Linked DNA regions of Notamacropus eugenii. The protein of the gene in region 3 purifies or fractionates together with the protein of the main gene of each other region. This does not show direct contact. Links are inferred from orthologs where the notes say so. Each region holds a gene or a part of one and is shown on either strand. Other genes may lie near its edges. The genes, in order: PYM1, UPF3A and RBM8A.

Region 1 (3,744 bases), on a different chromosome or scaffold from region 3:
TCCCCATCTCAGGAATGAGTTGAACTTTCTCCTCTTCCCTATGTCATTATAGATTTCCCAGCAAAGAATATTCATGAGGTTGCTGGTGTTGTATTGTGGGAAAAGCAGATTTTGAGTCAGAAGGCTGGGGTTTGAGACTAGCTATTTGACCATGGGCAAAGCATTTAAGCTCTAGGTGGAGCAGTAGAGAGAGTGCTGGGCCTGGAGTCAGGAATACCTGTGTCCAAGTTCAGCCTCAAATGAGGATGACAATTATAGTGCCTACCTCCAGGTTTTTGTGAGGATCAAATGAGATATTTGTAAAGGGCTTGGCATAGTGCCTGGCACATAGTAAACAGTTTATAAATGTTAGTTATTACTATTATTATTAGCTATGTGACCCTGGGCATATCACTTGCCTCAGTTTCCTCAACTGTAATTTGGGGATATTAACAGTACCTGCCTCATGAGGTAATATTTATAAAGCAGTTGACACATAGTAGGATCTACATAAATTTATATTCTTCTCCCTTCCCTTCCTTTCTCTAAAAGCCTCAAGAATCCCTCTGTAAAATGCCAATAACACTATGTGCTCTACTTATTTTACAGGGTTGTGGAAGTGACAGTGTTTTGAAAGCTTTAAGCAGCATAGAAACACGTCATTCCTGACCTCACTCTACGCATATCCCATTCGGACAGCTCCCTTTCTAGGAGCCTCAGAATGGAAATTACAGGGGATTTCAGTGTGGCGAAGTAGGGTGAGTGGCTCTCATTCCCTCAGTGGAATTTAACGCTTTCTGACACCCTCAATGAATTACCTTAGCGCATGCCCCCCTTCTTCAGTCTTTCTCCCTCATCCCACCTAGCCTCCACGGCCCAAGGGCAATGTGTGAGAAATGGGTATAATCAGTAGGCTCACTGCACCACGTCCCAGGTGCACATTTCCTCTTATCGGCCACATCACAAAATGGAGCGAGAAAAAGAAACCACAGCGAACAAAGGGAGGAAAAAACAACAGCTTCATTTCTACCCCCACCCCCACTTCTCCCTTCCTCCTCTGGTGGGGGCGAGAGCCACACCCCAGCCTAGGCTAGGGTCGGCAAGTCGCCCAACGGGCTAAGACAAGTGAGTTTCACTTCCTGCCAGCCCCAAAGTTAGGGCAGGATGTCTGGGGGTGGAAAGAGGTACAAGAGGAGGGGCCCTTGGCACCAGGTTATGCAGGCCCCGAGGGGAGCTGCTGTAGGTCTCCAGTTTCCCTTTTGCAAAGAAACTGAACTGAAAGGGTGATCCTAGCCTGAGGAGACCATGCCAAAGAGTCACTGAGTTCTACCAGTTTTTCCAGGTTCCCCCGCAGCTTCAAGCACAAAGGCTACTACGGATGTGGGTGTGTGGAAGGGGAGGACAGAGTGAAAACATTAGGAGGGAGAGGATTGGGGGAAGGAACGTACACATGTTAATAGCTGCAAATCAAATGCAAAACAGTATTCCCGCTTACTCGGCAGTCATCTTAGCTGGGCAGCCGCAGCTGGGTGGAAGAAGAGCGCTGCAGATTTGTTAGGTGGGGACCTTCCATAGCCGGATTTTTGAGCCGCGGAATGTTCATAGGTGGCATATTTTACTATTACTCAGTTTGAAAAAAAGGACTCCCAAGCGATTTAGTTCTATCCTGACTGCCTTCCGTCTCCCTCTCCCCCGCGCAGGGAGGACTCGGGCACTAGCCTTAGTCAAAGCAGAAGGACGGGGCAGAAACAATTTCCGTGGTAAAGGGCTACAGAAATGTCAGCAATCTGCAGGCAGTGGGGGGTGGGCTGGGGCGGGGGAAAAGGAAAGGAGAAAAGCGAAAACCTGGTGAGAGAAAGCGGCAGCCCAGGGCCTCCCCAGCCTCAGCGGGGGCAAGTTGAAACGGAATTTAGCTAGGGGAACGAGGTCGAGGGCGGGAAGATTTGCAGTTAGTAAAAGGGGAGGGGAGAAGGCCAGAAATGGGGAGTGCTGGAAGGGCTGCAGGGTCAAGCCCAACCCCTCCGATCACGCCCCTCCCTTCTTCCCCCGATCGCTTTCTTCTCGCGCCCTGGGGGTAGAGCCGTAGACCGAGAGGTGGGAGTCTTTAGCAGAGGAAGAAACTGAGGCGGGGAGGGGAGGGATGGGGGCGGGGAGGAGAGGCTTAGGCCGGAAGGGAGCGTAGAGGAGGTCAGCGAGCCCAGCCCCTCCGGTGAGACTAGTCCAAGGTCACCGGGGAAAAGAGAAGAGGGGTCAGGATTTAAACCGAGACCTCCGGCCTCAGTCGAGCCGGGGAGTCTCGTGCAGGCGCCCGGCGCGGGGATCCCGGAGCCGGAGGCCAGCCGCGAGGCTCTCGGCGGCCCGGCCCCCTCCTCCGCAAGAGAAACGGCCTCAGGCCTCCCGTTTCATTCATTCCACAGACGCAGATCGAGCGCCGATTCTCTGCGGGGCGCGCACGCCGGCGGCCTGGGCCTGCAGCGTCTCCCTTTCTCCATTTCGTCTCTGCGGCGCCACCCGGCCAGGGATGTCGTCCAGCCGCCAGCCAGTTCCCGAGGACGAGCTGAAAGGTACCGTCCCCTCTTAATAACCCCCTCCGTTTCCTCGGCCCTCACTTAGCCCCGGGCATGAAGTCCAAGGGCGCTCTGTCTCTTTAAGATGAAAATGGCAGCTCGCGACCAGGCCTAGACTCCACTTCCGGTGGAGAAGGGGGCGGGTCCTGGGGGGAGGGTGTCACTCACGCCGGAAGTGGTTCTCGTTTCCAAGATGGCGACTCCCTATGTAACTGACGAGACCGGCGGTGAGTGCGGGCGGTGCAGAGTCTCTTCTCCCCGGGCCTCTGAGGGTGGGGGTAGAGGTGGAGGGCGGACTTGGAAGGGACCTGCGCCCCGCCCATCCCGGGGCCCCTCCCCTGTTCCCGCCCCCCCGGACCGCCTACCCCATTCATTCGCTCCTTTGGGGCTGCACCTGCGCCCCCTTCCGGTCCTGTGGCGCCGGGGTCCCTCTGCTTCCGGTCACCTAAACTCTAGGCTAGGGTCTCTGCTGGCCAGGGCTAGTCCCCGGGCCTCCCTTGAGCCCCGGAAGTCTCCACTTGACCGCCGGACCCCCTTTGGTCCGCCAGCCATCGGAGCTCTGTCCATGTCCCTTCCAATTCCTGCCTCCCCCCTTTAGCTTCACCCACCTTAGGTGTGAAGGATTGGGAAGGACCTCCAACTTGTGGCCTTTGCTCTCATTTCCCGACCATGAGCTTTCTCTTTGGAGACCTAATCGCCAACGTGGGCTGCTTTCACATCTCTGCCTTCCCCGGGAAACTGTCAGCCTGGGCAGGGAAGGGATCGGTCAAGTCAAGTCAATAAGCACTTCCTAAGTTCCCACTGTGTGCCAGGCACTGTGCTAAGACCAGAACACAAGTGTCTCTGCACTCAGCCTGGTAATCAGACTACTAACGTCACCCTTCCCCGGCTGTCTGTCTCACTAAACTGTAGAAAAGAATTGTATGAAGGCTTGCTGGGGGCTAGGCAGCAGCCTTGGGCTGGGATGAGGTCCTGGGAGAAGACAGAGATGGAGAAAAGTGAGGTCTCATCCTTAGATGTTACTGGTACTGGTAACCCATTCTGCCCAAGGACCAGAGGGAGGAAACTTCTAGCCTGTTTATCAAAAGAAATATACAGAAAATATGTATAGAGTACATGTGGTGTATATGTGTACCCATGTGGAGCAGACATTGCATAACTCATAAAATCATTCATACTGGATACACTATCAAGTCAT
Region 2 (3,744 bases), on a different chromosome or scaffold from region 3:
TCCAAATCTGTTGATGATGTTGCTTAAACAAACACTTCACTGCTGTTCAGTGAGGTTCAGACGTCTCCTTAAGTAATGAATTCTATCTATAACCTTTTCATTACTACAGAAGAGATAGACTGTTAAAGAAGGCTCTGTGCCAGGACAGAGTACATAAATACCTGAAGGATCTGTGCCTAAGACTATGAAATAGAAGAGTTTAAAAGACTTGCCCAAGGGCACCTAACCCCCAGGTACCAGAGGTAGGATTTGAAATACAATCTTTCAGACTTCAGGCTCAGGGCCCTATCCGACATTCCACACTGCCTCTGTAATAGACACAGGTATCTTTTTTATGCATAATAGCTACAGACTGGACATAACTACCAACATTTACACAAAAATCACTGAATCAAAAAATATGAAGTACTGAATTCTCAACAGTCCTCTTAGTCATTTAGGTTTTCCATTTGTTTGGAAAGAAGATATAAAATGTTATCCACTTTCCATTCAACCCAACAAGACCTTTACAGGATCACAGTACCATAGACTTAGAATTATATGTGACCTCTAAGGTCATCTAATTTTACTTTAATGACAAAGAAACTTTGGCCCAGAGAGTTAGGTAACCTGCCCAAGCTCCTTTGATGCTTCTAATCTTTGAATCAATTCAGGATTATTTTGCAAGGTGTTTCTTTCCCCAAAATACTTTTTGTTTCTTATTTCAACAAAAAATTGTCATTCTCTGCACTCTACATGCATTTATTTGTATTACATTATGAAATTGGAAAATACTAGGTGATCAGAGTAAGAGAAGATAGTCTAATTAAAAGTGTATTTGTTGGTAACTAGATTTAGGCACATACAGCCTTGGAATAAGATGAACATACACAGACTAGTCAGTGTGATTCTGGGCTGCATGAAGACAAAAAGAGATCAAACAGGAAGCAGGCCATTCCGCTGTAGCCTGCCCTGGTTAAGAGTAAATATGGAACACAGTGGTCAGCGTGGTGATCAAGATGGAGAAGAGATGAGAAAGAATGAGATAGGAGGTTCAGTGGAAGGAAGCAGAGCCACCTGGCCTGGAGAAGAGGTTACTTAGGAGATGTATGAGACCTGGTGTTCAAGTGTTTGAAGGGTCACTCTGTGGAAGAGGGATTAGACTTGTTCCGTTTGAGCCCAGAGGGCAGAACTAGAAACAACCCAAGACGGAGAGAAACAGATGCTTCCTAACCATTCAAAACCAGGATGGACTGCCTAGGGAGGCAGTGGAGATCTTCAGGCTCCTCCTGGCGAAGGACTTCTACGGGAGGTCGGGGAAGAGGCTCCTGTTTCGGTACAGGCTGGACTGGACTGCCGCCTCCCCGTAACCCTTTCCAGCCTGGGTCCTCGGAACTCTGAAATACTGGGCTTCTTTTTTTTAACTAGCCAGCCTGCATTGTAAGTAACTATTCTGGTTCTCTGTAGCACATTCATCTCTTAAAAATATCCTCAGGTGCATGAGTGGACCATTCTTCGGGGACGGTTTTCTTCTCCACGGTCACTTTAAAGCCGCATTCTCAGGTCATGCCGCCATTCGCAGCTCTTCTTGGGTCGATCAGAACTTACCGCTTTGCGGAGCACGAACTCTCCGCCAGCCTTCTCCGAGTCCGACCCTGCCCCCGGGCTGCCCCCAGGCAGCCTCCACTCTCCCGCAGGAGGCGTGGGGAGGGTGACGTCAGGCGGACCGGGCCAGCCCGCCCCCTAGGGGCCGGCGGAGCGTCTCTCCCCTTTGTCTGTCGGTCCCCGGAGCCCCGCGCATTCGTGAAGCTGCGGGCTGGGCGCGGGTGGGGAGGAGCGGCCACGCCGCCCACTGATATCCACCGTGCGGGGCGCCGGGGAACGACGTTCGACTTTCATTTTAAACACAATTACAAGTCCAAATGTCTGAGGTGACTTCCACCTCGCCCTAAGGGAGGGAACAAAGTCACGCTCGGGAGGAGACGAGGAAAGGACCGCCCGGGGCTCCGGTGGTCGGCCCCCCGCGCGGCCGCCTCCCACGGCGGCCCCGCCGGGCTGCGCCTCCGCCCCTCCTCCACGGCCGCCGGCGCCCCGGGCTCGGGGCGCTCTCCCCGGTCCTGAAAGCTCGTCCGCTGTCCCTCCTTCCCTCCTCCTTCCTCCCGGGGCGGCCGCCTCCGCGCAGTCCCTTCCTCCCGCCGCGAGACCCTCCCCCGCCGACCCCGGGCCGCGAGCCCCGGCCGCCCCTCCCCCCCAGGCGCCCCCCCACCTTGCTCAGGACCGTTTTCTTCTCCTCCCGCGGCTTGCTGCCGCCTCCTCCGCCACCGCCGCCTCCGCCGCTGCTTCCGCCACCCCCGCAGCCCGAGGCCGACACGGCGGTCGGAGGCGTCTCCGCTTCGCGCCGAGGCGACTCGCGGCGGAACTGGATCTCCATCGCTGTCCCTCCGCGGGAAGATGCCGGGGGCGGTGGCAGGGGTGGCGGTGGCGGCGGCGGCGGCGGCGGCAATGGCGGCTTCTCCTTGCCGCCCGATCCCCGCCCGGCGCCGCCGACGCCAGAGCCCCCGGCCCCGCTGGCTGCCTCCTTCTCGGACCGCATCACGCACCCGCCGCAGCCTCAGGCTCTTTCTCCCGCCCGTTCGGGGAGTGTCAGGAAGACTCGCGAGATCTCCGCCTACGCTCGCGCGCTACCCCCCCCCCCCCCCTCCGGCCCCGCCCGCCAGCCGTGCTTCTTGGTGACCGTCCACCCCTTCCTTGTAATGGAGGGAAGGAGCGGACACGGACGAGTCAGGGCAGTTGGGGGAAGGAGGAGCGCGTCGGAAAAGAGAGGCCTGGGGTCAGACGGTTTCAGGGGATGCGGACCGCGAGACCACGGAGGTGCCGCTGTCCATGGAGATGAAAAGGGCTGGGGTGCGGCCGGGCGGGGCGGGGCCGGGCGGGCTGGTGCGCCTGCGCGCAGGACCCGGAGGCACGTTCCCGCTCTATCCGCATTGCTGTCTCCCGAGCCGTGGGCGGCCGGCCAGGCGACCCCCGCAGAGCTCGGGCTGCGCCCGCACCGAGTGCGGGGTCCTTGGGCTTGGCTCGGGGCTGTAGGGGAGGGAATGGCAAGGCCCCCGGGAGAGCGGGGCTAAAGATCAAAATGCAGAGAAGCCTCGGGCTTGTCAGAATGGGAACCTCGGTGTGTGCGATCCGGGTATTAAGAACGAGCCCATGTTCTCCCTGGAAGGTCCTCAGGCCTGCATCCCGCCCCCCCCTCCCGAGCCCCCCCATCTGACCGGAAAGCCACGGCCATGGCCATCAGCAGCCCCCCAGGGGGCGCTCAGGCGCTGCCCACCATGGGGGCGCCGTCCAGAAACATCAAGGCCACCGGTTTATTTTTCCTGTACACAGGCGGCTGCTAATAAATGCTTTGGTCATCTTTACAAGTACGCTTTCCAGCGTCTGCGGCAGTGATATCTCTGCACTGCCAGCACCTCCCTCCGGACAAGAGGCGCGCGGACGAAGGAGGGTCCGGGGCCGCGGAAGCGCTCCGAGCCTTCTTGCAGAACAGAATCGGAACCGCCCCGCCGAGTCTCACGGCACCTGGGTTCGCCTGGCCCCAAATTAAAGAGGAGGGCTTCTCCAAACGTGCGGCCGCTGGAGTGGTCCCCACTCGGCTCCGGGCTTGGGGTGGGTCGTTTGGAGGCGACCGTCCCCCGCGGGGCGCTAAGCGATGCCGGACCTTGGCTCTCGTGTCCGAGGTGGGAAGTAACGAGGGACTCCCGGGGAGCA
Region 3 (3,744 bases):
ACGAAAAGGATCCACCCCTCAACAGCTGGGGAGTCAGAGCACAGGCGGGGCGCGATGGTCAGGGGGAAGGATTCCACATGCCGGGGCTCCTCCCACTGCGTCCCCTCCCGGACTCCCGGCACTCACAGCGTTGCGGTCCGGGTTCGTCACCATCCTGCTCCACGCTGTCGTAGTCCTCCCGCATTCGGGCCCGGGACCCTTCCTCTGTAAGGTCCACGCCCACCAGGGGTCAGTAAATAAGGGCGGCCCACCCCGCGGCCCCCCTCACCCTCCTCTGTCCCAGCCTCACCTGAGCCGAAGCCGCGACCCTTGCGTTTCTTGGCCTTCTCCTTCAGTTTGTGAATGCTCTCTGAAGAGAGAGGAGAGGTGGGTCAGGGGGGCCCCGCCAGGGGAGTGGTGCCCGCGGCCCGGCCCGACCCCTGCGGCTCTGCCTGGGGCGGAAGACCCTCCTCCCGCCGTCTATCCATTCCGAGGCCCGGGCCCTCTAACTCTCCGCCCACCCGCTCCGCACCATCCCCATCCTCGTCCATGGCGAAGTCTTCGCCTCCGGCCTCATGAAGATCCAGCACGTCTGCCATCTTGCACGGTTCTCCGGTTCCTCGGAGCAGTTCTGCACCAAGGCACGGTGGGAGACGATGGCGGGCTTAAGAACCTCCCCACGCGGTGTTGTTGACTGCCTGGTTAGCCAATCAGACCCCTCGACTCCGAGGCTCTCGCTTTTCTTTGGCAGGGAGGCTGCCCGCTCGCGCAGGTCCAGTGGCCGCCGGGTCTGAAGAGTAGGAGAGGCGGAAACTTGAAGAGAGGGCTTCCTGGGAAGGAGGCCAGAAGAGCAGGTCACGTGATTGGGGGCGGGGAGAGGCCCGGGCTGCGCCTGCGCTTCGCTTGGACGCTCATTCCCGACTCTCCCCTGGTCCCCGCCCCCACCCAGGCGGGGCCTCGGGCGTCTAACCGTCGAGCTTTGCTCCCTTCCGTGGTTCTTCTTGAGTCTTCCCAGCGATTCTTTGCTCTCTCGCTTTCCTTTCTTTTCTCCTCCGAAGCAAGGGCGGGAGAGGGCGCCATCTTCATTTCGCAGCCCACTTTCGGTGCTCGGCTGGACGGCCCGCGCCAGCCTGCCTCGGTTTGCGTGGTTGGAAACTTCAGGGCAGCTTCTCCCCTCCCCCCTCCAAAAAAATAGCCAGAAGCCGGGTCGGAGTCACTTGGTTGCTGGAGAACTTCCTTAGCCTCCCCTGGTCTAGACGAGATGATAATCGCCTCCTGTAAGGCACTCGTTCTTAAACCAGTTACTTTTTAGGGAGTCTAGGGCTGAAGTCTCCCCCAAGCCCGGGACTCCATCCCCTTCCTCTCTGAACTCATGATCTCAGCTCCCTAACTCCTCCTGAGCATCTTTGTCAGCACCTTGCTGGGTCAGTCCAAAAACCCCTTCACAGGCCGGCCCCGTCGTAGTTGTGTGTGTCCTCCCTCCAACATGGAGAAAGGCAAATCTGCAGGCTGCCTCTGTTTGGAGGTGCCCAGCACCCTCATTTTGCAGGGAAGGAAAGGAAGCTGACTGAAATGGCTCCTTCCGTGATCCCTAGTGAGATCCTTACGGATTTCTGTTCTCCAAGTTGACCCTGCTTTAGCATCTGATACCGCCTCTTTTCTGGGATACTGCTGTTGGGGTACAGACTCTGGGAACTTCCTGGAATCTTCCCACTTATTCTGGCTTTTCACGCTCAAATCTGTGACCCATAACCTAACCAGGCCCTGCCAGGTCCGAGGCTTCCAGCTTGCCTCTGGCTGGTTCTCATCCTTGATTACCTCCCACCCCAGCCCTATGTTGTCCCAAGCCTCCAGTCGTTTCCCACCCTTGATTACATCATTAGTTACCCTGGTCCCATCAAGATTCTCTTTTCACGCCTCCTCCCAGACTGCTAGACCACCCCCAGATCCCTCCCATCATCTTTCTGTATATAAATTTAATCTCCTCTCCACTTACATGCTCAGTTTCAGTCCAGTTCTGATTCTGTCTACCTTAGATTCTACCTGACCCACTTGGCAATACAAGCAACACAAATGGTTGGGCTTCCTGAGAGTCGACCCAATATGGCAAATCTTTCATAAACTTTGGCTGAAAGAATGCTTGTCAAATGCATTCAGTCAGGACCCGGCTTGTCAGTATTTTGGGACCCCGAGTACCCCTAAACCCCAATGTTGTTAGTGTGTACAATGTTCTGTTTCTGTTCACTGCGCTTTTCATTTCATGTCAATCTTTCTAGGTTTTTCTGAAATCAGCCTGCTCTTCATTTCTTATATCACAACAGTATTTCATTACAAATACAATTTATTTAGCCATTCCTAAATTGATGGGAATCCCCTCAGTTTCCAATTCTTTGCCACCACAAAAAAGAGCTGCTATAAATATTTTTATACAAATAGCTCCTTCTCCTCCACCCTGCTTTTTAAAATTTCTGTGGGATAGAGACCTAGTCATGGTATTGCTGAGACAACAGGTATGTAGTTTTATAACCTTTTGGGCATAGTTGCAAATTGCTCTCCAGAATGCTTGGATCAGTTCACAACTCCACCAACAGTATATTAGTGTCCCAGGTTTTCTACATCCCCTCCAACATGTATCATTTTCCTTTTCTTTCATATTAACCAATCTGCTAAGTGTGAGTGGTACCTCAGTTGTTTTAATTTGCAGTTCTCTAATCAATAATGATTTAGGGTACTTTTTTCACATGACTACAGATAGCTTTGATTTCTTGGTCATAAAACTGCTATTCATATCCTTTGACTATCAATTGGGTTGCAACTTGCATTCTTAAAACTTTGGTTCAGTTCTCTATTTTGAGAAATGAGATCTTTATCAGAGACACTTGCTGTAAAAATTGTTTCCCAGCTTCCTGCTTTCCTTGGTTTGGGTAAACTTTTTAATATAATCAAATTTTCCATTTTCCATTTCCATTTTATAGTGCTTTCTTTTTGTTTATGCATAAATTCTTCCCTTCTCTATAGATCTGACAGGTAAACTATTCTTTAGTTTCCTAATGTTTTTAGGGTGTTGTATCAGTAAGCACCCCAACATACAGGGGGGTCTTCTATCACAGGTTCTTAGATCTGCATTCATAAAAGGAAAGCAACTTTCAAGGGGTAACAATCACTTTAATCAAGCACATGTATCGTTCCTTTTAACCAAGTACATCTATCATTCAGTTAGTTCAGGGAGTCAGCACCCTGAATTTCAAAGAAAATACAGAAAAATCAATAGATCAACAGACATAGCTTCCTCTGCCTGAATTCAATAGACAACTGGACCCCAACTGTCTGACCATAGTTTCCAGAGAGGGAAGCACTTGACACCTGGGTTCTCAAAGCCAGGGGACTCTTGGTGGTTTCCCAGAGTCCTCCTCTGGCACTCAAACTTTATTACAAAAACTAAACCCCAAAGTAAAACCTCAACTCAGAGTATTTATATCTTTTTTAGAGCCAGAGGGCATCACAACCCTTTAACCCAGTGCCTCAATAGAAAAAACAAAAGGTACTTAGGGCCATCCTACAAAACAACTCTCCTAATCAAGCTTCCTACAATGGGCAGGCCCATCAATGGGTGGGAAAGATTTTTTTAATAATTATTTTGTTTTCAGTGTTCTATAATCACTTCTATATATCTTAGATGTTTTCCCCCTCTCTCCTCCTACTTCCCCTCTCCTTCCCCACACCCTCTCAGAGATGGCTTGCTATCTTATATAGGTTTTACATATA

What was found.
Region 1: the proteins of RBM8A (region 3) and PYM1 purify together in Homo sapiens (co-immunoprecipitation; 11 studies listed by BioGRID and IntAct, counting the BioPlex papers as one, with this or other methods). This does not show direct contact. The link is inferred for Notamacropus eugenii from reciprocal best matches to the Homo sapiens genes RBM8A and PYM1.
Region 2: the proteins of RBM8A (region 3) and UPF3A purify together in Homo sapiens (co-immunoprecipitation; 4 studies listed by BioGRID and IntAct, with this or other methods). This does not show direct contact. The link is inferred for Notamacropus eugenii from reciprocal best matches to the Homo sapiens genes RBM8A and UPF3A.

What each region holds. Positions count from the first base shown.
Region 1 is NC_092874.1:231,139,280-231,143,023, reverse strand, and holds the start of PYM1 (partner of Y14 and mago), read left to right. Parts: upstream 1-1,460; 5' UTR 1,461-1,574; coding exon 1,575-1,584; intron 1,585-1,984; exon of another isoform or gene 1,985-2,073; intron 2,074-2,396; coding exon 2,397-2,543; intron 2,544-2,659; exon of another isoform or gene 2,660-2,739; coding exon of another isoform or gene 2,740-2,773; intron 2,774-3,744. UniProt on the Homo sapiens protein: Key regulator of the exon junction complex (EJC), a multiprotein complex that associates immediately upstream of the exon-exon junction on mRNAs and serves as a positional landmark for the intron exon structure of genes and directs post-transcriptional processes in the cytoplasm such as mRNA export, nonsense-mediated mRNA decay (NMD) or translation.
Region 2 is NC_092877.1:206,134,743-206,138,486, forward strand, and holds the start of UPF3A (regulator of nonsense transcripts 3A), read right to left. Parts: upstream 2,632-3,744; 5' UTR 2,573-2,631; coding exon 2,246-2,572; intron 1-2,245. UniProt on the Homo sapiens protein: Involved in nonsense-mediated decay (NMD) of mRNAs containing premature stop codons by associating with the nuclear exon junction complex (EJC) and serving as link between the EJC core and NMD machinery.
Region 3 is NC_092873.1:303,232,243-303,235,986, forward strand, and holds the start of RBM8A (RNA-binding protein 8A), read right to left. Parts: upstream 2,322-3,744; 5' UTR 579-2,321; coding exon 512-578; intron 350-511; coding exon 290-349; intron 205-289; coding exon 127-204; intron 26-126; coding exon 1-25.